Linked DNA regions of Tamandua tetradactyla. The protein of the gene in region 2 purifies or fractionates together with the protein of the main gene of each other region. This does not show direct contact. Links are inferred from orthologs where the notes say so. Each region holds a gene or a part of one and is shown on either strand. Other genes may lie near its edges. The genes, in order: IGSF8 and CD9.

Evidence for each region.
Region 1: the proteins of CD9 (region 2) and IGSF8 purify together in Homo sapiens (affinity purification with mass spectrometry; 5 studies listed by BioGRID and IntAct, counting the BioPlex papers as one, with this or other methods). This does not show direct contact. The link is inferred for Tamandua tetradactyla from reciprocal best matches to the Homo sapiens genes CD9 and IGSF8.

What each region holds. Positions count from the first base shown.
Region 1 is NC_135330.1:13,135,768-13,151,775, forward strand, and holds the start of IGSF8 (immunoglobulin superfamily member 8), read right to left. Parts: upstream 5,844-16,008; 5' UTR 5,073-5,843; coding exon 4,982-5,072; intron 3,632-4,981; coding exon 3,254-3,631; intron 2,570-3,253; coding exon 2,108-2,569; intron 1,709-2,107; coding exon 1,301-1,708; intron 1,041-1,300; coding exon 627-1,040; intron 317-626; coding exon 201-316; 3' UTR 190-200; intron 111-189; 3' UTR 1-110. UniProt on the Homo sapiens protein: Member of the immunoglobulin superfamily (IgSF) that links tetraspanin-enriched microdomains to the actin cytoskeleton and plays several important roles in innate and adaptive immunity.
Region 2 is NC_135333.1:68,453,242-68,469,108, reverse strand, and holds the start of CD9 (CD9 antigen), read right to left. Parts: upstream 7,194-15,867; 5' UTR 7,029-7,193; coding exon 6,963-7,028; intron 4,685-6,962; exon of another isoform or gene 4,561-4,684; intron 1-4,560. UniProt on the Homo sapiens protein: Integral membrane protein associated with integrins, which regulates different processes, such as sperm-egg fusion, platelet activation and aggregation, and cell adhesion.

The DNA.
Region 1 (16,008 bases), on a different chromosome or scaffold from region 2:
AGAGCGTGGAGTGGGCTCAGGAGAAGGAGCTCTGCAGGGTGCCCCACTGGCCCCACCCATCAGCAGGACCCTGCAGAGCTGAGAGCGGCTGCTCCTCCTCCGGGGGGGGACTGGAGGGAGAGCTAATTCAGGACTTGTGGGTAGAAGGCCTGAGAAAGACAAGGCTGGGGAGACGTTCTGTCCCCTCACCTGGGGAGGGATCATCGTTTTCGCAGTCTCTTCATGAAGCAGCAAGTGATGGTGCCAAGGATGGTGGTGCCGGTGACGAGGGCAACCCCTGTACCCACCAGCAGGGGCACGAATAGGGTGTCCAGAGCTGGGTAAGAGAGAACAGCTCTGTTCAGGCTGGAACGTCGTTGTCTCCACCCCCTGCCATCCTTTTCATCAAGTTCACTGGACCCACCTCCTCCCCACTCCAAGCCCCCCCCCCCCGCCTACTCCGTGCCCTCTCGGCAGCCAAGTCCATGCCAACCATAAAGGACCCAGATGCAGATGGGTAGTGATGGCTGAAAGCTGGATTTTCCAGACTCTTCATGTAAAATGATGAGGATGAGAAAGAGAGGACAGTGGCAGGAGCCTTAGACGACAGCCGGGGTTTGGAGTTGGGAGGGTGGTGATTCACTCACCATGCATGTAGGGGTAGACTGTGACAGGCCCCGAGCGGGCACTGCCTGCCTGGTACCAGCTGTAGTCGGCGTGCTGCACCCAGGCACCGGCTGTACAGTGGTACACGCCTTCATCCTGCGGCCCCAAGCTGTGGAGTCTCAGCCGATGGCTTCGGGGTCCTACCAGCTCCACGCTGACAGGGCCTCCTCCGGGCCGGACCCCCAGCTCTGCCACACCGTCCTGGCCCACGCCACCCACCAGTTGGGCAGGGGCAGGGGCTAACTCCCCTTCCTCCGGTCGCTCCACCCACCAGCTGGCAGCCAGCCTCAGGCCTGGAGGGCCACCCCGCACAGAGATGTTGCAGAACAGGGAGGCGGTCTCCCCCCGGTACACCGTGCCTCTGGCTAGCCAGGCCAAGGCCTCCAGCACCACACCTGCAGAACAAAGGACATGGAGTTGGAGGGTGAAGGGTCAGGGGACATGGGGTCAGGGCTGCTGTCAAAGCAATACTCCAGGGAACTCAGGATGTTGCCACAAAATCGGAAGAAGAGCGTGAGACCCTAAGGCATGGAAGCTGCTGACGGGAGAAAGGCTAAAGCAGGAGAGAGGGCATGGAAATAGAAGGAAGCACCTAAGAAGCACCTAAGCTGTCAAGGGGCCGACATCCCCTTACCTACCCCCAGAAACCTCTCACCTTCTTCCCGAACGTGCACAGGGAGGGGTCGGGAGCGGGCACTGGCTGCTTCACGAAGCCAGGCCCCAGACCCTCGAATGTAGGCTTTGGCGAGACAGCGGTAGGTACCCGCATCGCCCGGCCTGGCGGCCTCTACCCGTAGCCGGTAGGTTCTGGGCGCTACCTTCTCCATGGCAATGTGCCGGCCCTCGTAACCAGGGCCTAGGCTGCCCACACCCTCTGTGTCCAGCTGGGCTACCAGATGGCCAGGCCCCGGCGCCCCCGCTGGTGCCATCTCCCAGCCCACAGAGTATGCAGCATGACGGCCTGGCGGGGGCAGTGCCCCCGACACATTGCACAGCAGCTCCAAGGGCTCCCCTGGGCCAATCCGACGTTCACCAGGCCCCACTGTCACGGCCAGCTGGCTGGCTGAAACAAAGGAGGGGGAAAGGGGTATTATGGAGGCAGAAGGGGGGCCAGAGGCTTCTGAGTCCCCAACAAGAGTTCTTTCCTTGACAGTGGCAACATGGAGGCCCCCATCTGCCCCTCACTGGGTCCCCCAACTTCCACGTATAACCACCTTCTCCATTCAGGGGTCTGAGTCTCATCCCTCAGCTATGGTTCTCCTAACTCCACACCCAATTTCTAAGCAGAGAAAACCCATCATGGGTAGAGAGGGAAGTCATGCCAACAGGGCTGCTCAGGCCAGGGCAGACGGATTCCCCGGAGTCAGATGGTGGCCCTCTTGCACCCCCAATGGCCATGGTGCCCACTGAGATGCATCCCCTTCCAGCGCCCACCCTGGAATGTGTGGATTGTGGGACTCACACAGCGTCTGCACGTCCACGTGGGCCAGGACAGCCCGCTTCTCCCCGATCTGGGCCCAGCTGCCATCGGGATCTTGAATCCACTCGGTGGCAGTGCAGTGGTAGGTGCCTGCATCCTCTGCCCGGGTGCCCCCCACCACCATACGGTACCGATCAGTCCCCTCTTTGCCCAGCTGCAGCTCCCCGGCAGCCAGGCGCTCAGCATAGGGAGCACCGGCCTCCACAGCCAAGTCTGGACGGAGTCCCACCACTTCCTGCAGGGTCGCTCGTCCCACTGGCACCTCGGGCACAGCGCGCCCAAATGACACCGCCAAGTGCGTGTGCTTCTGTGTGCTCGTTCGTGCCAGGCAGCCCAGTGCCAGCTCCTGCCCCTCGTGCACAGTCAGGCGAGGGGGTGAAGTTGGGGCCTGGCGGCCTCGGGGTCCTGGGGGGGCAGCAGACACTTGCAGCATATCTGGAAGAACTGGAGAGAACAGCTGCAGTGAAGGAGGGGTGGGAACTAGCAGCTCTTCTTACTGTTTCCTGTGTATCCAACCTTTTTCCCTAGTCTGTGACTTCCTAGAGGACAAAGATGGCATGCTGTATTTCTTCCATAATCCACACGTGCCAAGCACAGTGCTGGGCACACCACAAGCGCTCAATAAATACTTGTTGAATTTAATAGAACCAGCCTAATCCTACTTACTCTGTTTCGGACTGCCCTCCAAGTATTTTTCTGATATACCCAGAAAAAGTGGCTCTGTCTTCCTTCTCAGAAGACAAAGAAACTTAAGAAAGTGAGAATGTCACATGATCTAACTTCTCCTACTCTACCTCTACTTTGTCCCCCACTCGCCCCCCAGGAATCTCCAGGGTGGAGTCATTCAAATCTCAGGCTACAGGGACTAGAGAAGGGACTGACCAGCTTACGGACACCTCTCCTCCCATGAAGTACCCTGACTCAATAAGAGCGATGGACAGAATGAAGAGATCTGGATTTGAGTCCTAACTTGCTGGGGAACTCTGTGCAAGTCAAATAACCTCTTGAGACCACAGGTTCCTCAGGACAAAATCTGAGGGGTGGTTAGATAACTCTCAAGTCCCTCCTGGTCCTGACTATCTACTTTTAGGGTGGTATGGCCCTGACCCCCCACCCAGGGCCCAGTACCTCTCAGCTCCACCTTGCCGCTATAGCTGCCCAGGTAGCGGGAGTCCGTGGAGGGCGTGTAGCACTCGTAGATGCCGGCATCCTGGGTCTGGAGGCGGGTGATCTTGAGCGCTACAGCATCACCCTGCAGACGCTGCACCTGCACCTCACCAGCCGCCACGCGGGGCCCAAAGATGGCGTAGGAGAACCGGGTGTCCCTGGTGCTGACAATGCCCAGTGCGGCCTCTGGGGCCTCGGGCCTGTACAGGAACCACTCGAAGTCCTGCTGGGCAGGGCCCTCGTAGCCACTGACATTGCAGGAGATGGAGACAGCTGTGCCAGCCACGCGGTACAAGGGTCCCTCGGGGACTAGCACCTCCCGGGCAGAGCATCCAACTCCTGTAGGGCAGGGCAGGAGAAGGGGGTGCCTGGGTCACCATTCTAGCCCCACCACTGCCAACCCATTCTTGACCCCTGCCCATGAATGCAAAGAAACCTGAGGGTAACTGGCAGACAGCTTAGGTCCTGTTCTGACAGCAGGGAAAGGATGCTGGGAGGTAAGACACCTAGGTCTCAAGAAAGGGGTACAGGCCCAATCTTGCCTCAAAACCCATTTCTGGAAGACAAGAAGCGGAGTCCCTAAGGGCAGAAAGGGAAGCTTTGATATTGACTTAGCAATTCCAACTATACCTATCTATGCCTACCCCCGACCTCCCACTTCTACTCCCTACTTCCCCTCTTCCCCCAGTGTCTGCCATTACTCCACCAGAGCTTGGTCAGAGGAGCCTTCTGGCTAAGGAATTCTGAGACCACCTGTCTCCCCTCCCTTGCTTGAAGGGAGCTGACAAACTCTTGCTCAAAAGGGCTGGTTGACTCAACTGTGTCACCTGGGCCAAGAGACTCCAGACAATGGAGCCAGCGGCCCAAGCCGAGACAGGGCACAGACCCAGTCAATTCTCTTGGCACACAATGCCCTCCCCCTCCAGCTGTGCCATGAGCTCACTGTTTCTCCCGCCCCACAGGGCTGCTGAGACATCTGGGGCTTCTGGGGCAAGAAATAGGTTCTGCCCTGGCCTCCAGGGGCAGACGATCCCCTCCCCAGCAACTGCCAACCTTGCAGGCTGGCCCAGCTGCACAAGGCAACCCCCCACCCCCACCCCTCAACTCTCTAAGGAAGCCTACATTTGCATAGAGTGGGCATTCACTCACATATGGCTTCCTTTCTGTAGACAGGCATCTGTCTCCCCAGAGGGGCCAAACCCTGCATCTGTACCCTAACTCCATCTCCACATTCTACCCAGCCCCGGCAGAAAGTCCTGGCAGCCTTGGAGGGCTCAGGTTCTTTTTCCTGTCTTACCATCCTTCCATAGCCCCCACTAGAGAGGATCACAGAAACCCAGAATGTAAGGTCAGCCTCCTTCCCCCATTTTACAGATGTGAAAGGTAAGGAAAGAGAACTATATAGTTTGGGCCAAGATCCTAGGGCCCCTGGGTGACTTCGACAGGCCCGTCCAGGGAGGTAAAAGGGGAGACTCCAAGGCGACGTCTGAGGGGACTGACCTCACCACTGGTCTCATTTCCAGGCCTTCCAGGGGGTTACCCATGGCCTTTCTGCAGGGGATGGAGGGCAATGCCACGAGTCTGTGGTCAAACTCCGCCACCCAGAGCAGCTCCTCCTGACTTCCTCTCCTACCCCAGCCAGCCTGCTGGCTCCTTCTTCCTGTGGCTGAGTCACTGGGGCAAACTCACGGTTGGTTGGTTGAGCAGAGGCTGGGAATTGGGACTCCAGCTGGATGGTCTGAGGCCAGTCCCTTCCTTTGCCAGGCCTCAGTTTCCACATCGGAGAAGAGCAGAGAGCCTCCAGCTCAGAGAGTGAGTGAGTGTGTGACTCAGGAGGGCCCTGCCTGAGGCACGTTTCATAATCAGGGTGATGGGCAGAGACTGCCGAGCTGATAACTTCCCCGGCCAGTGCCTTAGGGCAGACTCTGCTCAGAAAGGTTCCCTCCCACCTTCCTGGCTCCACAACTGCTGATGCCTGGAGATCCCCATGGGAAAGTCACCCCCATAGCCTTAGGAAATCCAGCTGCCACATGTAGTTCTCTCTCTCCAGCCAAGTCCCCTCCTCTCCTCCACCAAGGAGAGGGGAGGGAGAACAAAGAGGCCTGCTCTGGAGAGACTGATTTGAGTTCAAATTTGACTCCAGCTCTCACTAGGTATGGTATGTGGGGCAAGTTACATTTTCCTTATTGGTGAAATGACGCCATTTGTGAAATGAATGTCAGCGCCATATGTGGTGGATGCGCAGGGCTGGGCCGGCTCCTCTTCCATCTCTCTGTATCACACTTCCCCACCTCCCTTGGGCTCCTCTTTGTACTGTACTGCCCACTGGGAAAAAACGATATCTGTGCTAGGCAACAGGGCCCCGCAGCGCCTTCCTTTCTGTACACCCTCCTGCCTTTGGTCCCAGAGCTCCATGGAGAGGACTCCTCTTTGCCATGGAGGGCCCACGGCCCTATGTGACAGGTGGATACTCAGCTTAGGGCTGCTGTGGAGCTCTGAACTAGGAAAAGGCAGCTGGGGCTAGGTGTCTGCCTCGACTAGGGCAGCTCCAAATCCTGCCACCGGAGCCACCGCTACCAACACCCCACCCCTCACCCTCATGATGCCACACTCCTCCCCCAGTTCACCTCCTACAGGGAGCCCTCCAGTTCAGGCCAAAGCAACCCCACTGTCACTACCTCCATGCTGCCACTCAGGGGTGGTCCAGAACATCCCACCATAAACACCCCACCACAATAGATAGGGTGCTTGGAGAGCCCAGGATCAGTCTCCATGGGACCTGGGTTCTGAGGCCGGGAGGCTGAGACTTTAAGGGGTGTGATGACCAGCTAGGGGCTGCAAAACCAAGTGGCATCTGGGAGAGGGGAAGAGGGGCAAAGAGAGACCCAGTGCAGGGCAGAGGGGGTGAGAGAGGGGACTGGCCCCAATCTGAGATAATGAAGTGGGGAGGGGGTCAATTAGGGGACTTATTCAAAGATCATGGGCAGAGCCAGCCCCGGGGCCTCCAGCTAACTCGGGGGCAATTATGAAGATAGGCCGGCACCACACAGGGCGAGCACCCAAGGCCACGCCTGAAGCTGAGCTGGGGACAGAGATTCCAGGGCCTGGGTAGGCCGGCTGAGAAGTGGGGCCTGGTCCCCGGAGGCCTGGTGCTGCCTCGGGACGGCACTTTGGGGGGGGTCCTCGCTGCGCCCCAGCCCCAGGGCCTAGAGCTGGGGTGCTCTCACCCTCCCCAAGACTGCCTCAGCGGGCGGCCACACAGCGCAGCTGGGCACTGAACCCCGGGAGGCCGGAGGTGTTCCGACGGAGAAAGCGGGTGCGAGGGGAAACGCTGGAAGGGTGGGCCGGGCTGGCTGCCGTTGGCAGGCACCTGCCCGGCGAGCTGGTGCCAGGGGCCCGGCTTACCCAGCATTAACAGCAACAGCAGCAGCGGCGGCGGCGGGGGTAGCTGCGTGGGGCCGAGGGCGCCCATTCTGCGCGGTCGGCTCTGGGGAGGCTCCGGGGGGCGGCGCAGGCTCGGGGGGACCGGGGGCGCGGGGGGCGCATGCCCAGGTGGGGGGCACGAAGCAGAGCAGCGAGGCGTGGGTGAGCTAAGCCGAGCCGAGCGGCAGAGGCCAAGCCGCCTTCCTCCTCCCCTCCTCTCCTCCTCCTCCCACTGCTTTCCCTCCCGCCCTCCGCAACTCCCGGAGACGCTTCCCGCCCGGCCCCGCCCCCTCCGTCCGGCCCCGCCCCGCCCCGCCCCCGCCCCATCTCAGGCTCCGCCCTCTGCCCCGCCCAGTCCAGCCTCAGGCCCCGGCTACCGCTGCAGCCCGGCAGAGCTGGCGGCACCTCGGCTCAAACACATTCACACCCGCCCCGCACAGGGGGCATCCCCCCAACCCCGCACCTGTCGGCCTTTCCCTGCGAGGTGGGTGCGGGGATCCGGGGGTCGGTGAGGTGACTGTGGCCACGCACTTAGAATTCAGTTATTTTCTCTGGGCCGCTAGGCCGCGCTGCAAACCTTGAAATTGGGAATGGGGGGAACTCAGGCGTTCCGAAACCTAAAGGGTCTGAGCTAGAGGGCGCTTCGAGGGTCCCGAAGGTCAGGGGAGACCTGTCAGCCACTCCCTCCGGGAGCAGAACTAGAGGAGAGTGGGTGGGAGCGTGGGTCGTCGGGCGCCGTGGCTTCCCGGTTGGGTGAGCCTGGTCAAGCTGCTTAGCCTCTTTTAACCTCAGTTTCCTCCTCTGCGAATTGAGGTCGAGGACATCTACCCTGAAGGGTCGTGATTAATTGAATAATACACATAAAGGCCTTGCCACTGGGCAACTGGGCGAAATAGGAGGTAGGTTTTGTTTTTTAAATCACTATTTAAACTGCTTCCTAAGAGGCTTAGTTTCGCCCTAAGGGGAGGATAAGCCTGGGGCTGAGGTGAAGGGGTCTCTGTTTCTGGTGAAGAGGGATGGACTTCACCCTGCGTTGGGAAGGATGGGGCCTGGCCTGGAGGTGGGAGAATTAGAGGAGGCTCTGGGCTCGGTCCCCTCAACTATTGAGAAGGGGGAAGGGTAGGAGGGGTGGGGCCAAAATCGTGGGAAGAGACAGCCAGGTCTACAAAGCTAAAGCTGTCAGGGTGGCAGTGGATGGAAGGGTGAGCTCATCTAGCAGCCCCCACCCTTCACCCATTTTTTGTCCATCCACCCCTCTTTTATAGAGGAGGAAGCAGGCCCAGAGAGGGGAAGTGCACAGGCCAGACCAGACCTTCCTTAACTTTCTGTTCCCAGAACTTGGCACCGCACCAGCCTCAGAGCAGGCGCTCTGTGGAGTTGCCTCTTGAAACCACTTTCGGAGCACTTGGAGAGCCTGGAGGAGCTCTAGGCGGAGTGCTGCAGACCCGGAAAGGAAACCAGACATCCAGCCCTCCCCTCCCAATACTTCCAGGACTGAGGCAGGGACAGGGCAGAAGAGTACCTGTTGATTCCCACTTTGACATATTCACAGCCTACTTTCTCCAGACCTGTTTTCATCTAAATCATCTGCAGGCCAGATTGAGCTATGTGAAAGCTGAAATTCAGAGGAAAGTTTTTAGAAGAAAACCATTCTTTCTTTGGGGGCTGAGGTGGATTATTGCCTTCCTGAAGCTTAAAGAATGAGAGATATTGCCAGTCGTAGCAATAATAATAGTTGCCATTTATGAAATGCATATACAGAAAGGCCCTTTTAGATATTCTTTCTTGCCTTTACTAGGTATTGTGCAGGATGAGGCCATTTAACGAATGAGAAACCTGAAGCTAAGAGTGGTTAAGTAACTTGCCCAAAGCCACACAGCTTGTAGGTGGTCAAAGTGTGACTTGAGACCTGGCTTGTCTGTCCTCAAAGCTCCAACCCCTTTGTCTTGCTTCCCAAGCCCTCTCCACCCTATAAACCCATTATTTCACAAATACTGATCTGGCCAGGCCTTGTGCTGGCTACTGGAGAAGCCACGGCAGACAGGGCCAGCATGGTCCCCTGCCTTCAGGGGACAAGTAATAACCAAGCTCCAGCCTGCCTGTTACGAGAGGGGATGCTCAGGGAGCTGAGGGGCCATCCTTCATCCTACGGCCTGGGACTGGGAGGGACAGGTAGGTGCTGAGGGCTGGGCCGAAGTCTCCAGCCAGGTTGAAGCCTGGGAGAACCGCAGCTTCTTCCACACGCCCCTGTGCGCACGGAGGGTTCCAGAGACCGTCAGCAGGGGGAGCCCAGAGCCCAGGCCTGACTCACTAGTCAGACACTTACGTAACTGGGAAGCCTGGGGGAGGCGAGCCAACGCCAGGCACGAGGCAAGTCACACACACCCAGACTGTAAAGGAGAGGGGCTTTGCACAGAAAGACGTCACACACACACACACACACACACACACACACACTCCGACAGAGCCATGCATATATGCATACAAAACCCTGAACAGGCTGCAAAGGAGGACCATGTGGTGTAGACATGAGGGCACCCCTGGACCCATCCATTTCATCCCTAAAAAGCACCACAGGCTTACCCAGCACCCAGGTCGGTGCCCTGCAGTGGGATGAGCAGAGAAAGGAGGAGGGAAGTCTTCAGTGAATTTCGAGCCAGGCAGAGCCACGAGGCAGGCAGGGGACCCGGGCTTGCAGAAAGTCAGTGGGGGGTGGGGGTGAGGGGGGGTGCAGCAGCAACCATGGGGAACACAACTGTGGCCGCGCTGGGCTGTCACTGTGCAGTGACCAGCTGCTGGCTGCCCTCCATGTACTGCCAGGGGTGCACATACGTCGGACACTCGTCCTGTGTTTCACATGCTTATTTTAATTCATTACCCCTCAAGATCATGTGTGTACAAGGCGCTGAGGTGGTACTGAGGTGGCATGACTATCGCTAAAGATAATTTAGACCAACTCTGTATCCCAAAGCAGTTAATCTGGCTGAGATGGCACAGTTAACGGTTGCCATGGAGACAGGGCTATCAGAGAGAGGGACACCTTCATAGATAAGGCACTTTTTTTGACCTGTGCCAAGTACGTAACTCAGCCTCATTAAGTCCTCACCAGAACCTTGTAAGGTTCGTGCTATTAATATTCCCCCTGAGACGCTAAGGGACTTGTCCAACATTAATGGGCTCATTATTGCCCAAACTTGGATTTGAACCTAGGATTGTCTGTGGATTATGTGTTTCTAACCCCTGTTATCCTGCTTCTCAAAGATAAACATCACTGGAAACTAAGTTAAACATGGACACAGCACACACAAGTACACGCTGAGCTGCGGAGGCAGGTGTGGCCCTGGAGACAGGGTGACAACGCCGTCAAATAAACAGGGGCACATACTACCAGACAGACGTATAGAAATGACTCAAACCTGCCTGAAACACTCAGCTTTCTCTTCCCAATATGTGTAAATCCCAGCTTGGTGGGGAGCTAAAGATCACACACGAGAATGACCTGTAATTTTTGTGTGCTTATAAAGCCTTGACCCGTACTGCCCTGATGAGCCATATTTTCCCATCCTCCCACAGGGAGAAGGTTCTCTGCTGCGTTGCTGAGAGGATCAGGCGAAGAAATAGAGGCTGAGGTAGAGCCAAAAACCTGCCCTCACCCTGACCATGTGCTTAGCAGGAACCTGCAGAAACAGAGGTGCACACCTGGGGACCAGGCACACAGGAAGATAAACACACAGACCTGTGCACACCAAACACGCTCACAGGACCACAAACCATCCCTTTCACACACATGCACATACATACATTCACACTCGATCTTCTCCTTCCTTCCTCCCCGGTGGACTCGTGTGTGTGTGTGTGTGTGTGTGTGTGTGTGTAGCTACTCCCTGAACCCACCTCTTGCCCTGGCTGAGCTTACTCTCCAGCCCCAGCTCACAACCCCCATGCCAAGGGGACGGCACAGCAATCCAAGGATGGGGTGCCATGGTGCCACTGCTGGCCATGACCTCTGAGGAATCAGAGGCCCAGCCTGGCCCTGACCTCTGAGGAATCCTATGCCCAGGATTCGTGTTAGCTGCCACCCACTCTGGAATGCCAGGGATGGGTCCCTCTGAGCCAGAACCCCCTTGGCCTCCCTCCCCTGATGAATTCCCCCATCCCCAGCCCCATCGGGCTGGGAGGTTGGGCTCCACCCCAGGTGCTTCCCCATCCCTCTCCTCCAGTCCCAGCCAGGGCAGACGGAACTGACGGTGCAGATATACATCTAGAGGGTGGTACAGGGCCAAGGCAGTCCACACAGTGTGATTTCACTTCTCCCCGAGCCTGGGGTTCGGGGATCAGTCGAGGGCAGGAGAAGGCATCGGTGTGTTAGGGTGATTGATGCGAGGAGCTGTGGGGGACTGGAGGTGGTTAGCACAGCTGCTGCCTCTGAGTCAGTAAGGCTGAGCAAGAGACAGATTCGGGGGCTGGGTCATTTACAGGTTGTCTGCACCCAGCTCCGAGTGAGGTGAGAGGGAAGCAACACTAATTACTAATACTACCAAACACCTACCCTCCACTAGGCACTTCTTAGCACTCGGCACGTGCTCACTCAGTGTTCACAGCAACCCCACGAGCTAAGTACTATTATTATCTGTGTTTTACAGAAGAGGAAACAGAAGCACAGATAGTTATATAAACTACCTAGGGCTACAGAGCTAGCAAGTGGTAGCACCTGCCTTCAAGCCCAAGCTGTTTGACTCCTGAACTTAAGCTCTTAAGATTCTTCTGCCTCTTGCTTCTCTAGCCAGCTCATACTTTCTCACATATGCACATCCACCCACCCACCCACCCACACACACACAGACACGCACACAACTGGTGACTCTGCAAACTTATGAAATAACAAATGTATCTCCAGCTCCTGGCACATCGCGGATTTCCAGTATATGTTTGTTGAATGAATGCAGTGCTGGGTCCCAGGAAAAGAGGAAACAATGCAGAGGTTGCACGTGTGTATGGTGGAATGGGGGGAGGGGGAATGAAGGGAGATTGACAGTAAAGCCCCGTTTACTAAATTTACCTTGGAGGCCTGGGGCTGAAACTGTCTGATGGTTGGGCGCACTTACACACGCGTGTACACACTACACACACATACAGCCCTCTGCTGCAAACGATATAGAAGACTCACTTCTAACTCTGGGGTCCCAGCCCTGGAGGGTGCCTCGGGTGGGGAAGGAGGAATGGAGCTGGGGTGAGAGTGGGTTGAGGTGGGAGAGTGCCTTGACTCTTCTCTCCGATGAGAGCACAGGACAGGGGAGGGGGTGGTGAGGTGGAGCTCTGGGAGGGAGGTCTTGGGGGGGCATCACCTCATCTCTGGAAGCCAAGCTCAGTTCCTCCTGAGTTTTCACCCCTTCCTGCCCCAGCGCTGCAGGCTCTTTCCGCCCCCCTCCTGTCTGCACCTGCACTCCCCAGGAATCTGGCACCCTCTGGCTATTCTGGCTAAAGAGTGGACGATTCTCCTCTCCCTTAGTCCAACTGAAACAAGGGTGGAATTTTTCCAAAGACTCTCTGTGAGGAAAGTGACGGAACAACAAAGCCAGAAATAAAGACTACTAAAACAAAGAAACAGATGGAGCAGTGGGGGTGAAGGAGCTCACCACGGGAGAGAGTGTGAGCACAGATTCCCTCCCCGCCCCGCCCAGCACCCTGACCTCGGGCCTCTGCCTACAACACAGAGTTTCCCACTCTGTATTGTAATTACAAGGTTTGTTTACATCTGCCTCTCTCCGCTGGGAGCAACTCAAGGCTACTTGAACTCCTTTCTGTTCTGCCCCCATGCCTAGCACAGTGCCTGGCAAGGAGCAGAAGTCCAGCAGATATTTGCTGAGAGAGTGAGCGAGAATGAGCAAGTGAGTGAGTGACAAGAGAGGGAATCTACTCCTTTCTCTGGTGGCTAAAACACCTCCATGGTGGGCACTAGTCCCCTCTGGAGTCCATCTGATTCTGGTCATTTCCGTCCATAGCTGGTGGAAACATCTTTTTAGAGTCTGGCTTCCTGGGCAGCCTGGGAAGGGATGAGGTCTGTCCTTTGAGGAGGGGAGAGTGCTGGTGATCACAGACAGCACACAAGGAACTTGCAGTCCCAAGGCCAGGACATTGGAAACCAAGGATGGTAGCTAACCATCACTGAGCACTTTTGTACTCAGAATGACTCTCTGAGTTAGAGATGTTAAGGAACTGAAGGTCAGAGAAGCTAAAAAATCTATCTAATTAATGGTGGACTTAGGATGTCATAACCTGGCATTCCGACTCCATAGCGCAAACTCTTAGCCGTGTTGCCACGCTGCCTCTGTGTAGTGTAAATGGTCACGTAGGGAAGACACGCGTGGCTGGGAAGTGACAGGGTGTGTATGGATCCACCCACCTGGCAGGACAGAGTGATGGTGAGTCCGCGTGAGCAGGCGTGCTCACTCCAGGTCTTCAGAAAGACCCTTGGCATGGAGGATCCCACCTCCTGAACCAGAGCTCCTGGGGGAAGGGGGCTGGACAGAACAAACCTAAAAATTAGGACATGAGGCAGGTTACCAATCCGGAGCTCAGGTGAGGAAATGAAATGGAAGCTTCTTGGTCCCAACTGAGTCAACCATTTGGGGCTGGGATTCCAACACCAGACGGCACGCTTTGGCTTCAAGCAGACTTCTATTTACCCACTGTGTGGCCTGGACCTTGCTCCTGACTTTCTCTAGCCTTGGTTTCCTTGGCTGTAAATAAGAATTATAATAGCACCGGCCTCGTCGTTTTTTGAAGGTTGTCGTGCAGATGAAATGAGAATGTACATGTGCTGGTTTGAAAGGATATGTACCCTAGAAAAGCCGTGTTTTCATCCTGAGCCATCTTGTGGAGACAGCTGTTTCTTTGAATCCCGATTCAGCACTATAGGTTGGAAACTTGATTAGATTATCTCCATGGAGATGTGACGCACATTGTGGGTATTAACATTTGATTAGAGGGAGCTGTGACTCCACCCATTCCAGGTAGGTCTTGATTTGTTTACTGGAATCCTTTAAAAGAGGAAATATTTTGGAAAAAGCTTCAGAGCCACGAGAGCCCATGCAGCCAGAGACCTTGGAGATGAAGAAGGAATGCGCCCCCAGGGAACTTTTTGAAACCAGAAGCCTGGAGGCAAAGCTAGCAGATGTCGCCATGTTTGCCATGTGCCTTTCCAGTTGAGAGAGGAACTTTGAACTTCATCGGCCTTCTTAAATCAAGGTATCTTTCCCTGGATGCCTTAGATTGGACATTTCTGTAGACTTGCTTTAATTTGGACAGTTTCATGTGCAACTTAATAATTCTCCTTTTTAAAAGCCGTTCTGTTTCTGGTATATTGCATTCCTGCAGCTAGCAAACTAGAACAGTATATATCACTGTACTTCACTATGAGTAAAGCTGGGGCATGTGTGCAGAGACCAGGGAGATGGGGCGGGGGGAGGAGAGGGGAGAGCAGGGGAGGGGTTACCTGCTATCTTCTTTCTTCCTTCCATTTCCTTCAGCCCTCTTGAAAATGGGCAACCCATATCCCTGCCTCAGGTTCCTCACCACGCACTCCTTAACCCTTCACAGTCCTATTTCCAAACTCAACACTCTATGAAAATGGTTTTCTCAAAGGTTACACAAGTAACCTCTGAAATGACAAATAAAGTGACCAAAAGTCAATTGTCATTTCCCTTTGGCCTCTCTGCGGCATCTGGGGCTGTTAGTTTCCTGTCCCTTTTAAAACTTTTTCCTCACTCAGCTTCCAGGGCCCTTTACTTGGCCAAGTTCTCTCATCTCGCTGGTTGTCTGCTTCCCCATCGTCCAACGCCTTTTCCTCTTCCCTGGTGTAGGGTTGCCCAAGGGTCTGTGCAAGGCCCTGGGCCCTTTGTCCCCCCCTCACTCCTCTCCCTTGGGGGTCTCCTTCATGCTCCTCTGTGTAGGTGACTCCCACAGCCCCTCCCCACTCACAAGCTCCAGCTGCCCATTCTCTAACACCCACCCAACGCCTTTACCTGGACGCCCTGCCAGGAGCACCGCAAACGCAATAGGCCTCAATGCCCACTTGTGACTTCCCTCCCAGACAAGCTTCTTTCTTCCATACCCTTATTTTAGCTAACTTGTCACCACCATGCTCCCATCTCCAGCTCCTTCCTTTCCTGCATCCCCATATCCAAACAGTTATCAGATCCTGAAATTCTACCTCACGAAGATCTTTCTCACTGCCACTGCCACTCTCTTCCTTCCAACCTTTAACCTCTTGGCCAAATTCTTGCCACAGCCTCCTACCCATCACTTCTTTCCAGTCTAACATCCTCCCTTCCTGCAGTCAAATGAGGCTGCATTTTAATGAGATCACTCCCCTGCTTGGAAACTTTACATGGCTCCATGTTGTTCATGGTGATGTTTCTCAAACTTGCTGGGCAGTAAAAATGCAGCTCCCTGGTCCCTACTCCAGCCCCCATGAACCAGTTTCTCAGAGACAGGCCTGCTATTCTCTATTTTTAACAAGCACCCTGGTGACTCTTTTCATTGGAACTTTTTAGGAAATGCTGGAATTTAGAATAGCGTTCAGTCTGGCATTCAAGGCTCTCTGTGAAATGCCTCCAACATCCATTTCTAGCTCTGGCGTCCGCTTTCCGTGTGCTGGGTGCTCCTGCCCTCTGTGCCTGTGCTTACATAGTTCCCTGTACCTGGAATATGCTCTCCTTTGCCTCTTCAAGCCAGATCCTACCTGTCTGCCAAGGACCGCCCAGAATGGCCTGTGCTGTGCGAAGGCCTAATTCTTCCACCTGAGAACCACCTCTCGCTCTGAACTCCACAGCCTTCTAAGTGTGCTGGTGTGCAACCAGCAGCCAGCAGCACTTGGCTCAAGGCCTGTGCTCAGTGAGGGCACTTTTTCTTTCCCTTCACCGCCTGGGGCACTTGTCGCCTTCACCATTGCAACCTGGGGATCGCTGCGCATGTGCTCCTGGAAAGGACACAGAGCAAAACTTTCTCAGTATCCTTACAGCATGGAAGAGAAGCGTACAGGGTCTGGCATCAGACTGCCTAGGTTTGAATCCCACCTCCCTCCCCTACTTGGTAAGCTCTTTAGGACCTTTGTGCCTCGGTTTCCCCCTCTGTAATGTAGCGTTGTTAGGAAAGTGACACATGCAAAGGGCTAAAGCGTCACATACTGCCTCCTTAACTGGTAACCACGATGAGTAAAAGATGTTAGAGACAATCTAGTGCAGGTGTTCACAAATCTCACTGCCCGTTAAAACAGCTGGGAAGCTTTTAAA
Region 2 (15,867 bases):
GCTGAGCTGAGGTGCATGGGCATATAAGCACCACACACAGACGGGGAAAAGGGATTTCAATTAAAATCTGTAAATATACCATCAACACCGAACTTTTGTGGACTTGGAAAGTAATGAGTTCATAAATAGGTATGAAAACATGCTGATCTTTTGATTTAAAATTTACGTAAGTCAATGTTATCATTTATTATCTTATTGACTTAACTGATGTGACTTTAAAAATAAATGAAAATATTATAGAAATCTGGTTTGAATCCAGTAAAACTATTCAATTTACTTCATGGTGTTTAAAACCCCAAGTTTCTCCTATGATCCCTGCTTTGTGTTAACGGCCCAAGGGGAGCTCACTGGAAGCTTGGTTGTGCACTGGGAGGGCTCTGGATGATAACTTTTCTAACAGTACAAGAGCTACCATTTCTGCTTGCCTGCACACTATCTGGCAAGAAGACTGAAAAGAAGGCCCCTTAAAGCCAAGTTTCTCACTTTTCTCCAAGTCAGTAGTCCCCAATCCACTTTACCCAGGGCCCTTCCCTAGAATCAAATGGCTCTGAGTCCCTCTCCAAGTCAGACTACTTCATCTCCCCCTGCTCCTTAACTAGGATGCTTATTGTATCTCTCCTTAGGAGTCCAAATCCTCAAACGATTCTCCATGAGACATTAACTTCTCCCTCCCCATAGTCTTCAGGGCAGGACCAGAACCGGTCAGGCTGAGCTTTCCAGTCTCCATTTGGTGGGAAGAAGGAGAGAACGTCAGAATGTTGCTGTTCCCGAACAAAGACAAACCTATGTTCCCTGCATTGTGTTATTTCTGCATCAGGGCATCAACACAGAGAACAGACTGGGAGTGGAAAAAGCTAGAGGAAAACCTAACCTAAGAGGCAAAACTTGGCTGGAAGCTCATAAAGTTGGACACCTCATATAGATTAGAAACACAGGACAAAACTCATTAAATTAATCGAGAGTTCAAAGCTATTCCTTGGGCAACGATGAAGCGTAGAGTCAGAGTGAGGATGGGTGGGGAGGCCAGACCTCCCGTTTCAGCTGCTTGCAACCATCATAGGAACTTCAGACTCTGTAATGCCTTTCTCGAAGTTCCCTCATAATTCTCCCATGTCACCCCTGCAAACAGCAAGGCAGCCTGCTTCTCAGGGCAGAAACACTGAATTCAGAACCCAGAAGGGGTTGTCTGGACACCAATGGAGGAAAACCCAGAAAAAAGGCAATAAAATGGGCATTTCCTGGAGGTAGGCCTCATTGGATTCGTGAAATTCCCTAAAAGGTTAAGATCCACTAGACCAAGATGACGACATATGGTGCTTAAAAACTATCCACAGCTAGATTTTTTCTTGGGGTGGGGGTGGGGTGGGTTCGGATGGGGTGAGTGGGAAGGGAAACTACCAGATGGGTGTAATTATTATAAAATTATTTTATTTAGGGCAGGATGAAGCTTTCCACAACAGCTGCATGCCATCATTTGATGGAAAATGAAAATGTCCCTGGACCAGCATTACTTTTTCCACAGAATGAAACAGGCAAGTGAGCTGTAGTTAGGACTAAAAATATATAAATTAAAGAATATATATTATATTAAGATTAGCCATTTTGGTCTCCTGAATTCCTTCAGTTGCAAAGGATCTCTCCTGGTTTGGGGTTCCTACAGGGAGCCTCTACAGGGTCTTATCCCAATTTTCAAATCGTGAAATACTGAAATCATCACCATTCTTCAAGGCTTTGGTTGCAAAGACCCACAGTAGGTCCAAATAAAATCCACTTCATGCCTCCCTGGGGGAGGGTGGCACTCAGGACGTAACTATGCAGAAATAAATAAGGAGACCAGAAGGCTCAGCCTGGCCTTCTCTGGTCCTGCCCCTGGACTATGGGGGATCTAGATTTCTGAGGAGATGATAATCAGCCTGGTTAAGGAGGAGGGAAGACGAAGCAGCCTGACTTGGAGAGAAGCCCAGACTCACTCGACACCAGACTTCACCCTCTTTCCCCCAACCCCACAGTCTACCTGGGAACACGCTTCCAGCCAGGGGGACCCAGCAGGACCCAGAAGCCAAGGAGACCCAGTGACCTCAGAGCTTTTGCCGTCATGGCCAGATGCAGCCAGACAGGCACTGCATCTGGCCTGTGTTCTTTAGAAGAAAAGGTGCTTTTGTAAATCCGAGGTATTATTAAGTTCCAAACTGTGCCACCCAGTCCAAAAGCCACACCCCCTTATAAAATGGAACTGGACAGGAGAACAGAAGAAACAAACACAAGTGCTTTGTTCTGTGTATAAGGGGGAAGATGCACGTCTAACGCTCCTACCAAAAGGAGGGTGTGAGAAGGGTGATCTGTGAGGTCTCGAGCCACAGAAGCCTCATCTAGAAGATTAAGGGCTCTGGGAAGGTGGCCTTATTAAAGTAGCTCCAAATTCGGGTCTCAACCAAGAGCCACTTCCTTTGGGCACAAAAGAGCAGGGTTTGGGATAATGCTGTGGGCCACTGTGAAAGAAAAGGGTGGGGTTTGTGTGTGTGTGTGTGTGTGTGTGCATGTGTGTGTAGAGAACCTCCCCTCATGTGGAAAAAGGTCAGGAATCAGATCTGTACTTTAGACAACCATTATGGGAAAAGGTTGTGTGTTGGGGAGGAGGGTGGGGAGAAACCATAACGCCTCTGGCCAGGAGAGAAGTTGTATTTTCCTCAGAAGATGAAGCTACCTGGCCTCACCTCACCTCTCCTAAACCTGCCAGCCGCAGTACAAATAGCCAGCTTTTCTGCCAGCTCAGGCCTGCCGCGTGCCAGAGGGAAGCCATTTCATGCAACAGTCCTAGCCACTTGCTCTGCCCCAACCAGCTTCTGGGTGGAGCTGCAGGTTGGGGGGCAGGGCCTTTCTGCAACCCTGTCCCCCACCTACTTCATACTCTGCCCAGATCCAGAATCCTGATGTCTTAGGGCTTTTCTGCCATGCAGTTCTATTTTCAGACAGAGCCACCACACAGTCAAACATGTAGCACACATGAAATGGAGTCAGTGTTTTGATGTGGGCACTGCAGAGACAGGGGTGGCCTGAGTGAGGCCAGCACTGGTGCAGGGAGAGAAGGAAAAGAAGGGAGGCAAATGTGTGGGTTCGGAGGTGCTCCTGGCTACACCTGGGGTTCAGACTTCCACACTCCTCAGGGAATTGCTCCCTCCCCTCTTCACTGCCCCAACCAATAAAAACCAGCAGCAATCGGTTACAAGTTTACTGTGCATTTAGTAATCCCCAGAGCTTCATTCGGTCTGTCCTACCACAAACATCTGAAAAATAAGGAAATGGTGTCTCTTTATGGGGAACCCCTAAGCAGAGGGACTCCACCCAGGGTGAACAGGGGGAACTGTGAGATGAGAGGAAAGAGGGGCAAGAATTAGATTTGGAGGTGAAGGCTTCTCAAGTGAAGCTGAGTTCCAAGGACAAGCCTTAGTACTCATGGCATACTTGTGTTTCCTGACTCCTATTTAGGGTGGTGTGGGAAAGTCCCATTGTGTAGGCAGCTGGGCTGGGGGTTGGTTTCATATCCTTATCTTGAAGGGATCTTGAGAGACCATTCGCTCTGACCCGTTCGTTTGACAGATGAGATGTCTGGAGCATAAAAACGACCTTTGCCCAAGGCTTCCAGGTGAAGGGGGCAGAGCTGGCCTAATATCCAGATCTCTGAGTTCTCAGTCCAGTGCCCTGTCCTTGTGTCCAAGCAGCCTCTGTTGGGGTCAGGAGACCCTGTTTCTTGAGAGAGAGAAACCTCTAATATTTCTATCAGAGAGAGAGAATATGGGGTAGAGGCAATGAGCATAGGAGCAGAGGGAGGTAGAGCTCTCTCAGTTCAGCCACCATGCTCCCTTCTTCGCCCTGAGGAGCTCAGCTGCTTGCCTGACCTTGAGGAGGCCTAGGATTGGCCAGAAGGGAATGGGAGATAGAATGGGGCACACGTCCCTAGCCCTGGTCTTCCATTTTACAGCTTGACAAATGTGTGTGATCTATCCCTTTGATACCGGTAAGATGTTTTTCCTCTCCACCTTTTTTGGGGGGTGGGTGGGTAGAGAGGACTGAAGGAAGTGTTCCAGGGGCATTGGGAGAACAGACTGATTGCTAGTTTGGTTGTGGGCATCAAAGGCCTGATTGGGGAGGGCAAGCAGCCCAGGATGGGCTGTCACTGAGTATCCTGTAAGGATGAGAGACGTGTCTGGGAAACAGCACCCACTCCAGCCATCTCCTCTCAGTGTTCTCTGTTCATGAGGCATCAGTTGGCCTCTGGCCCTACAATTCCTACTTCTCAAGGTCCACATTGGTTCCAACAACAAATCTAAAAATTCTTGGTCCCAAGAGAGAAAAGGAAGTGTTGACAGCATAATAATCCAAGCTCATAGGTTTCCTTAAAAGATATTGAGAGCCTCTTCCCACTCTTCTATTTCCACCCAGCATCCAAACCCAGCTTGCAAGGCAATGCATTGTGATGGAAAATGTGCTGGACTCGAAGCCAACAAGACCTGCATTCAAACTTCTAATACTGTCTGCTTTGACTCTGGACAAGCCACTTACCCTCTCTGGAGACCAACTGCCTGATCACAGGAGCATGGGGATAATGCTTCCTGCTCTGGCTACATCATGGGTTTTGGAAAAGAAAGGACTTTGCAGCCTGTAAAACACTGTCCACGTGGATCACAGTATTCCTTTATTCCATCATCTCCTGGGGAACAGGGGCTGACTCTCTGCAGAGACCCCAGTACATGGTAACAGTACAATAATTAACTCAGGACAACATAGTTGCAGCTCACCTCCCTACACCAATCCATTACCTTATTGATTTTGTGATGGTGACGGTGGAGGACAGACTGAAATAGGGGATCTAGGGCTCATGGCCTTGACTTGGTCTCTGGATAGCTGTGTGAACGCGACCAAATCAGATCCTTCTCTGGTTCTCATCTTCCTACAGGGAATATGAGGACTGGACTGGATGGTCTCTAAAGCCATTCACAACTCTAAACCTAAACATTCTGAAAGTGCATCCTTCCTCTTTCAGACTCCATAGCTGACCAGCAGCACCTGGCCCAGGCAGCGGCAACTCTAAACACGAGTGGGTGGCAGGTTGGGGTGAGTAGGCAAGAGCCTGCCAATACTGGAGTGGTCCTGGGCAGATGGGGGGCGGGTACATGGAGACATCATGGCAGTCTGGAATGTCTGTCTCTCTCCATCTCCTTAAACCGTGATGCGGCCTAGGCAGTTAGCTGAGGGTTGACCAATAGACAGTACTGAAAAAGAGAAAAAGTCTCCTCAAAGGACATGGGTGGGGTAGGGTGGCCTTCTTCCAGCATTCTTTTCTGGTGCCAGAGGTTTGGTGAGAGGAGAAAGCCAAGCCACTGGCCAGCCACAGGGACTGACAGGAGCAGGAGGAGGAGGGGGCACCCACTGCAGGCAGGGACTCCCAAGAGAAGACCAAGACTGCAGGCAGGGGCATACTTTTGCACCGTCCTTATTAGGGTGTGTGCGGCACCAATGTAGTGACTCTTAAAAGGGAAGGTCAGTCTCTGCAGGCTGGAGAACTGCTCTCCTACCACCCTTTCAGCTCAGGGGCCAGGATGAAATCTTAGGAGATTTGCCTAGTAATTTGTGGGGACCTCTGCAACCAGCTCCATGGGGATCACAAGCCTCTTGCTGGTAGGGCTCTCCAGACGAGCCTTTCCAACCCTCTTCCTGTCCTCAGAGGGGCAAATATTGTCTCCCTGTGTGCAGGGGATGTGGCCCTCAGAATCAGGACACAAAAGTCCCAATTTCTTGCTTCTGTCCTTGTGTGCTTCCCTAATCCCCTAAGGGAAGGTGTGAAGCAGCGGCTCTCCTTTTCTGTCGTTTCCCTGGGCAGTCCCATTTGCAGACAGGCTGAATGTGGCTGGCAGTGGGTGTCCCAGGAGCGCCCTACCCGAGTGCGCTCTCCAGGTGAGCCGCACTGTGGCCCCGCCTTGCTAATGGGTGGGCGGCGGAGGAGGGGGCGAGGTCACCACCTGATCCCGACCAACCGGAAATGGAGAAATACCGGACTCGGGCTAGAGGCACCGGATAGGGATCTTCCCCTCCTCCTCTCCCCAACTCTCCTAGAGGTCTCACCAGTTAAGATACTTATCGCCCTTGAAAAAAGAAGGAAAAAAAAAAATCCAGACCAGCTCGTCTTTCAAGTAGCTCTGAGGGAGCTCGGACTTTCTCACGGTGGCTCAGCGCTAAAGTCTGAAAAATGGGGGCCTCCGAGGTGCCTCTCGAGGTGGGAGGGGTTGTGGCCCCCCTTTGTTGCCCATCCGGGAAGTGTCGGAAAAACACCTCGTGACAACTGTCATTCGGACACCCCCGGCCGGCGTGCCCCTTCCCCTCCAGCACAAACGCGCCAACTTTGACTTGGCGGAGCTCTCCCTGCTCCACCCCTGTCTTTCCCAGCGCCCGCATCTGCCCCTCCTCGAGTCGCGACCACTGGTGAGACTCCACTCCGGCCGCGAACCGCACCCTACCCACCACCCGCCCCCGCCACGGTCCTCCCTGGCCAGGGACCTTGAGCTCCCAGAAGAGGGGTGCTCCGTTTCTCCCCGCCGCCCTCCCCTCCTCTGCCAGGAGGGGTTCAGGGTGGGAGCAGACACAACCCCAGCCGAAACCCCCCAGCGAAGGAGAGGGCCGGGATCGGTCTCCAGAGCCCCAGCCCACCAGCAACCTCCCTTGCCCCCATCCGGCTCGCCTTCGGATGAGCTCCCCACGACGTGCGCGCCCCACCCGTCTCGGGACTCCGCAGAGAAGCCAGCTGGCGGCCGCAGGGTCTTTTCTTTTCCTGCTCGGTGTCTGCCCGGCGCGGGCAGTGCCAGCTGCCGGCTCTCTGGGCCGCGGACAGTGTCCCTCGGGGACGCGCGTCCTAGGACCCGGGAACAGGTGAGCCCGAGGAGGAGCGTGCGGCAGTCGGGCTCACTCACCCAGAAGATGAAGTTAAATCCAAAGAGCAGGTATTTGATGCACTTAATGCCTCCTTTGACCGGCATGGTGCCGACTGGACAGGACTGGGTCGGACTGGTGGGACGGGGTCGCGCGCCGCTGGGACTGGCAGGACCGGGCGTCACGCAGAGGTGCTAGCGGGTGCCAGCGGGTCTCGGAGCTGCACTTTTAAAAAGTACCACTCCTTACGGCGCCCGGCCGGGTGCGGTGCGCATGTGCGGCGGGGGGGGTTTGCAGACCCCGCCTCCCGGCCCGCCCGCCCCGCCCCTTACCTGCCCCGCCCACGCCCTGCTCCGGGCTTCACCAGGCCCGCGTCCCAGCCGCCCCTTCCCTTTTTGCACTCCTTCCTCCGGCTCAGCGCTCTCTACACTGAGTGGGCCGAACCCTTCTTCCAGCTATCTTCCTTCTTCCTCCGCTTTCCTCCCAACAGTCCTGAGGTCTTCCCAGACCTCCGCTTTTCCCTCCCTCTTGGCTTTGCCGGTGTTGACTCTGGGCATCCCGCTCGAGCTCTCTGTTTCGGGAGACACTCACCAGGTCGTCTGCTCTAAAGGCCCCTGATCCAGGGCTGGCTGCCACCTGAATAAAAGCTTTTACTGCTTTGGCCTCGATATGAAGGGAACTTTCTGGCTTGATTTCTCTCTTGGGCGGTTCCCGGCAGTCTTTCACTCACTGAGCATACTTTTATTTGGCACATTACCGTGGAGTAAAAGGAATTATGGGCTTGCAGTCTAGGTGGGAAGACAGCTCGGAAGTTTATGGAAATGAGCAAATATCAGTCTCCGGGTAGTAACACGGCTGAAGGTTGGGGCAGTCTGGGGGCGCTTCCTGGATGTGTGGTTTCGATGCCCCAAACCGGCTGGTTTGGAAAGCGGAAGAGAGAGGCTTTTGACCAGGTGTTGGTTCTTACCTGGACTCCTTCATCCCACCCTCCCTCTCAAGCCTTGTTCTTTGATCCTGTCTTCTGCTACCTCTTTAATGCTCCAGAAGCCGAGATCTGAGCATGCTTCTCCTCTGCTCAAGAGCTTTCTGGAGTACCCCACATTCCATGGCTTAATACCTCCATTCCACCCAACCCAGAGCCTCACCCTACTCTGCAATCACGTGGCCCAGCTCCGCACATGATGTATTGTGGCCCGCTGGCCCTCCCCTCTTCCATTGTAGAAATTCTAGGGCTCCTTAGATACACGCCCCTTTTCTGATTCTCTCCACCGGATGAGATTCCCCCCTCCCATTTTTTTTGAGCCCTAAATCTCCTTGTACTTTTTTCTTTTTCAAAACAACACTTCCTTTAGTGTTTTCTTGCTATGAAAGCAAAACATGATCCTTACAGAAACATCAGGAAAAAAACGAGGAGGGAAAGGACATAACTTTTAATTTCACCTGCCAGAAAGGGCGTGGTTAGCACTTGTATCTTTTATTCTACTCTGTAGTATTATTTAAAAACTTATCTCATTCATTCATTCATTCATCCATTCAAAAACATTTTTCGGTATCTACTTTTTACATGCAAGAGCTGAAAGAAGGGATTTGGATCTGTCTAGTGGGGAGATAGACCCACAGCCAGACAATGTGCTGAGGGTGGTGTGTGGAGTCATAGAGAACCTGGAGACTAAGAGGACTCATGTTTATTGAGAACCTATTTTGTGTTACATAGTGTGCCACATGCTGAGGATACTGAGATTAACCATCTCTATGCCACATGGAAGAATCCCAGTGCAAGGGGGAGAGACCCATTAACAGACAAGTACAAACCCATGGGACTTTGGGGAAAAGGTGGCCTGGGAAAAAGTGGGGCCCAAGCTCCAAGTCTGCATGAATCAGAGGAGGCTTCTGGACACTGCAGCTGACTTTAGAAGGTGGCTTAGCAGATGAAGTGGGGGACAGAATTCCAGGTGGAGGGAAGAGTATGTGCAAAGGCACAGAGGCATGAAGCCACACACTGGCTGGCTGCCCTTGGGAAGCTACCAGTAGTGGGCAGTTTGCAGGGAAAAGAGGTTTCTCTTCCATTGAACCTGATGCTACAAGTTGTCAAGCAGAAGGAATTTTAGTGATGCTTTTTTACTTCAGTTACTCACGTTAATCTAGCATCCACTGAGGATCATTCACACACAGCAGCCTTTGAGGCACTGTGGGATAGACAGGAAAATAATGTTCCACCGTACTGCATTCAGCCAAGTCCACCGATCTAGAGACAACAGTCTGAGGAAAGAAAATATTTTATCTTTGTAAATCTTTGTTTATCTCTAAACAGCATTAACAAGCACAAATGGGAGGAGTTGGGTAATTGTTTATGCTTAGAATAGAAGCGACTTCTATCGTCTCAATGAGGTAACTAACCCACGTGAAGGTATAGTAGTGCCTGGCAGAGAAGTGCTCAAAAACTGTTGGGGATTGATATTATTTTATACTCAAGAAGCAATTGGGGTGGTCTACAAGTAAGTAACAGACTGCATTTACTCAAGGGAGTCTCTCTAATGTGATAAGGATATTGGATTGGGAGTGAAGAGACCCTTTGGTTTTTTGGGGGCAAGTCACCTCTCTCTGGGCCTCTGTCTGCTCTCCTGGCTCTCTGATGAGTGTTTGGATTAGGAGGTGCAGGCGGTCCCCTCCATTCTGACATTCCATGTGTGGTAAGACTCTGGGCCAAAAGGTGTTTGTTATAGGCTTTTATTGCTACAGCAACCAAGAAAGGGAAAGATGGAAAAAATTTGGTTTGCTTCAACTGGAAGAGGAAAATCTGGGTAAGCCCCTGAGTCAGAGATCACATGGAGGCAGCAAGGCCTTCCAGGCTTTGTGATGCTGGAGTGGGAAAACTTTTCCTCTCTTTCTGGAAACTGGCACCCCACCCAACCCCACTCCCTTGTAGCTAAGGGCCCGCTTTGGTTCTTGTGTGCCCCCTGGTGGTGAGATTTGACCAGCCACACCCATCTCCCTGGGACTGCTTATCCCTGCAGCAGTGGAACATGGCTTTGTGAGGCAACAGGCAGGAACTACACGTTCACAGGCCACCAAGGTTTTCCCTACCAGCACATTCAGTGGTCATCTGGGGCTTGCTTTCTCCTTCATGCTACCATAGCATTTGACCCTGCTGACCATCTGTTCTTTCTAGACACTTCTTGCTCTGTGTTCCTGGTGCTACATCATTGCCTCACTTCCTTTGTTCTAGAAGCATCTTTGCTGCTCCTCTTACTAAGTTTAAATGTTATCTCTTCATGAAGCCCTCCTTGAACACTCCAATCTTTTCCTCCATGAATTACCTTGTTTGAATCTCTCCCCTCCAGGATTCATTGACCTCGATCGTGTTCTCTTGTTGTATACACATTTTGGTGGTGAGTTTCTCTAGAGTCCACTTGCATTTGATTAATTTCTGTATTACCCTAGTCCCTTATTGGCTCAGGGTAGGCCTTCTGTAAATGCTTGTGGAATAACTGGAAGGTGTTGGCTCTTCCTTAGGGGTTAGTCTTCAGCTCTCTGCTCCTCTCTGTCAGCTTTCTCTTCAAGCATTCATCCCCTCTTGTGCCTCCCACCATTTTCTCTTCTTAGCTGACCTCTCTAAACTCAAGTCATGATATTCAGGGGTCTGTTAGACACGTCTAATTTAATGACCTCCTGTGACTGTGGTAAGCAGGGTAATGGTCCCCCAAATATGTCCACCTCTTAGTCTCTGAAACCTGTGAAGACACTACCTTACACGGCAAAAGGGATTTTGCAGATATGAATGAGTTAAGGATCTTCAGATGGGAAGATTTTCTTGGATTTGTCCTGTGCCAGTTTGAAATCATTATGTACCCCAGAAAAGCCATGTTTTAATCCTGAGCCAATCCTGTGGGAGCAGCTATTTCTTTTAATCTTGATTCAATGCTGTAGGATGGAAACTTTGATTAGATTATCTCCATGGAGATGTGGCATGCCCAATTGTGGGTGTGACCTTTTGATTAGATGGAGATGTGACTCCACCCATTCAAGGTTTTGATTAGTTTACTAGAGTCCCACAAAAGGGGAAACGTTTTGGAGAAATCTCAGATGCAAACTCTTGGAGCTGAAGCTGACTCTTGTCAGGTTCAGAGCTGACAGAGACATGGATGTTTGGAGATGCTTGGAGTGCTGACAGAGAGAGCAGATGCCTAGACCCAGGCAGAGCCCAGCAGACGTTGCCATGTGCCCTCCCATGAGATGCTAAGTAAGCCAGAACCCAGAGTTGTGTCCAGGAGGAATGAAGTGAAGGTTCAGAGATGCTTAGAGAGGAAACCACTGTCATCAGAAGCTGGAAGCAACGAACCAGGAACCAGGACCAGCAGACACAGCTATGTGCCTTCCCGGTTGACAGAGGTATTTCAGATGACATCAGCCTTTCTTGAGTGAAGGTAACCTCTTATTGGTGCCTTAATTTGGACATTTTCATGGCCTTAGAATTGTTTGTTGTAATATAATAAATTCCCATTATAAAAGCCATTGCATTTTTGGATGCTGCTTTACGACAGCATTAGCAAACCAGTACACCTCCAATCAGCCCGAAGAAATCACAAGGGTTCTTATAAGGAGGCGGGGAGGTCAGTTAGAGAAGGAATGTAAAGGAAGCAAAAGTTTGAGACCATGTACCAAGGAATGTGGGCAGTGTCTAGAATCTGGAAAAGGCTGGGATACAAATTCTCCTCTAGAGCCACTGGAATAAACTCAGCTCTGTGACGCATTTTAGGTTCAGAACTTTAAGATAAACCTGCACCGCTGTAAAGTGCTAAAACCTGTGATAATTTGTTACACTAGCAATAGGAAAGTAATGCAATTATAGAAGATACACATTGAGATCAGAACTCATAATCTCTGGGGACCTCCCTATACCCGAAGCTGACTTTCTTTCTCTTTGGTCCCCATACCCCTATTTTCCCATCAGTCAGCCTCAAAACCTCTAGTCATCTGTGACTCCTTCCTATCCCTCTAAGTCTCACACATGCTTAGACAATGTGATTTTCTTTCCTTGGAATCTCTCGCGTCACTGTGGTAGGTACTGCGTAAATTGTCCAATATGAAGATGAGCCAAGCCAAAGCAGGATAAAGTGATTTAGTGGAAGAATAAGGATCGGACGCCAGGTCTTCTGATTCCAAGCCCAGTATTAGTTCTTCATGTTTCATTCCTCCTGCCACCACTTATGATGGGGCCAGGTCCTTGCAACCCAACCTCATTCCTGTATCCCTGCCATTCACCTGGCCAGTCTGCACACATCATTGGCCTGATTGCCTTGCAAACTCAGTGGGATTGTCTTGCCTTGGGCTGCTCTGCTCTCACCCATAACTTCTTTTCATTGGCTCGATCACGTGTACAGTCAATGTGGAAACAACCTATGAATAGTGTGAATTTTATGAAGGTTTCATGGATTGCTGGATGATTTCTGCTTATCCCTGTAGCCTTCTCTTCCTCTGGCTTCTGGTTTCTTCTCTTTATAAGGCCTCTAGGAATAGGGATTAAGACCTACCCTGTTCAGTTGTCCACACCTTAAATAAAATAATGTCTTATTTATAAATGGGTCCAAGTCCACAGGAACACAGATTAACATCAAGAGAATGCCTTGATTCATTTGGGGTACATGATTCAATTGACCACATCTCTCTTTGCATGCATGCAGTGATGTCTTTCTGAATCACCTGCTAGACTTGTCAGATATTGTCCTGAATAGCCCGTTTCATGCATCTTAAAAAAAAGAAAGCATTCTTCCTAACTGGATTACTAAATCCTGTTGTTTCTGTAGGTACTTTCCAAACCCTACATAAGAAAATGTCTAAAGAACTAATGCTCGATTGGGCATATATGATGTACCAGTTATTGTTCTGACTGCTGTGTATAAACCCATTTAATCCAACCTTATGGAGTTGATAGTCTTATTAACTTACAAATGGGGAAACTGAGGCACAAAGAGGTAACTTAACTCACTAGAAATCAGCAGAAGCAGGATTTGAACTCAAGTGACCTGGCTCCAGAGCTCAGGTACTAACCTGCCTCATGGAGGGGGCAGTGTACATGTGTGAGTGGGCCTGCTACTGTGGCACTATTCTTTGCCTTTTTTGTCCTTTGCTGGTGGAGGGGGGTGAGGGGGCTGCAGGTGACCTCTAGGGATTTATGCCATCTTGAAGGTGTGTGCTGGTTTAAAAGGAAGTATGCCCCCTAGAAAATCCATGTTTTAATCAAAATCCCATTTCATAAAGGTAGAATAATCCCTATTCAATATTGTATGTTTGAAACTGTAATCAGATCATCTCCCTGGATGATGTGATTTAGTCAAGAGTGGTTGTTAAACTGGATTAGGTGACGACATGTCTCCACCCATTTGGGTGGGTCTTGATCGGTTTATTGGAGTCCTATGAAAGAGGAAACGTTCTGGAGAATGGGAGATTCAGAGAGAGCAGAGAATGCTGCAGCACCACGAAGCAGAGAGTCCACGAGCCAGAGACCTTTGGAGATGAAGAAGGAAGATGCCTCCAGGGGAGCTTCGTGAAACCGGAAGCCAGGAGAGAAAGCTAGCAGATGATGCTGTATTCGCCATGTGCTCTTCTAGCCGAGAGAGAAGCCCTGACTGTGTTCGCCATGTGCCTTCTCACTTGAGAGAGAGACCCTGAACTTCATAGGCCTTCTTGAACCAAGATATCTTTCCCTGGATGGATACCTTCGATTGGACATTTCTATTGACTTGTTCTAATTGGGACATTTTCTTGGCCTTAGAACTGTAAACTAGCAACTTATTAAATTCCCCTTTTAAAAAGCCATTCCATTTCTGGTCTATTGCATTCTAGCAGCTAGCAAACTAGAACAAGGTGTTTTCCAGAAAGCTCACTCTCTGAGTCTTCAGGGCTGATGAGAGGTGGTGAGTTTGTACCTTGGCCCTGCCGCTACTAGTGTCTGTTCCTTCCTGGACCCCCTTTTCCACAGCTGCAGAGCAGGGAGCGTTATGGCTGTCCTGCCACCACGTGGGGTGGGGACAGCTGGGGTCCATGCCCTTTGCATGGTGGGGTGCAATGCTGGCCCTGTTGTAGCAGCTGCAGCTCCCGTCCACTCTATGACTGCTGACCCTGGTTGTTCTGGGAGCTGATCTGGATTAAGGAGGGGCAGCAGAAGCTCTGGTGTGTGTGTGTGTGTGTGTGTGTGTGTGTGTGTGTGTGTGTGTGTTGTGTTCCAGCATACCAGGGTGGAGAAGCAATGAGAAAATGGCCTGGGGTTTGGAATTCGATGTCACAATTCAAAGCCACAGTGCATGTTTACCCCAGAAACATGACTCTACTTCTCTGAGACTCAGTTTCCTCATCCATAAAATAGGCTTTATACAAACTCCTACTTTACTGTTGCTAACAGTAAACGAGATATGGGTATTAGGAGTGGTTAACAAACTGTAAGGGCTCTTACAGGCCTGTTTTAATTTTAGACTCAGGATGGGGCAATGGCCTGGGTTGTTATAAAATGCTAAGTGGCACAATATTGTGGATAGAGTAATCCTACTGAATTCTCCACTTGAATGTGATTAAAATGTGAAATTTTGTGCTCCTTCTTGGTTGCTGCAATAAAAAGTTAAAAAAGATATTTAGATACTGGGGGAAAAAATAGCTCAGTGGCCTCCAGTTTGGGGAGTTTGAGCAGGATGAGCATGGTTTGCTCTTTGAAGAATAAGTTCTCTGTCTTCCGAGTGTCTTTGCTGGGTGGGCTGTGACCTGCTCACTTCTCTGTTTGCTCACCACTCATTCACCAAACACCTACTGGGGACCAGGCCTTGTGGGGCTCCTAGGACAAGCCAGAGCCTGGTCCTCCTCACGAGGAGTTTGTCTCTTCACTGGGGATGTAGGATGTGGTGGACACTGACTGCAAGAGTGAGAGGGAAGGATTAGGGCAGCGAAGGGCTGCAGGGGGTCAGAAACCCCAGAGGCCCCAGCTGGGCTGGTCTTGTAGGGCAGCAGACACACGCCTGGAGGAATGGGAAAGCACTGGGAGGAGAACTTGGTGCAGCCTTGGGTTTAGCCCTTTGCTTCATATTTCTATCCAGCTCAGCCTGAGCTGGTCCTGAAACAGTTCTATCAAGGGGCAAATAAAGTAATTAGATATTTTGTTTGTTTTCAGTCATTCATTTGCTTTTTATGTGTGTGTGAGGGAGGGGAGGGTAACAAAAATAAAACATAAAATTAGTCATTTTAACCATTTTTAAGTGTGCAATTCAGTGACATTAATTGCATTTACAATGTTGTGACTCCACCACCACCTTTTATCACCCAAACTTTCTATCACCCCAAAACAGAAACTCTGTAACCTTAAGCAATAATTCCCCATTCCCATTCACTCAGTCCCTGGTAATTTATGTTCTACTTTCTGTCTCTATGAATTTGCTTATTCTAGATATATCATATAAGTGGAATCATGCAATATTTGTCCTGCTGTGTCTGACATTTCACTGGGCATAATGTTGGAAAGGTTCATCCATGCTGTAGCATTCCTTCTTATGGCTGAATAATATTCCGTGGTATGAACACAACCACATTCATCTGAAATTGGGCGTTTGGGTTGCTTCTACCTTTTGTTTATTTTGCGTAATGCTGCCATGATCATCTGACTGAGTCCCTGCTTTCAATTCTTTTGGGTACATGCCTAGGAGTGGGATTGCCAGGTCTCATGGCCATTCTATACTTAACTTTCTGAGGAACTGATGAACTATTTTCCATAGTGGATGCATCATTTACATTCCCACTAGCAATGCACCAGCATTCCTACTTCACCACATCCTTGTCAACACTTGCTTTTTTCGTGTTTTAAATATTACCAGCTAAATTGGTTTTGCCGACGATATGTGGTACCTACCGCATTTGGCTGACTTTGTCATCTATAAACATCTGGAGGCAGGGCCTGTGTCTGTCTCT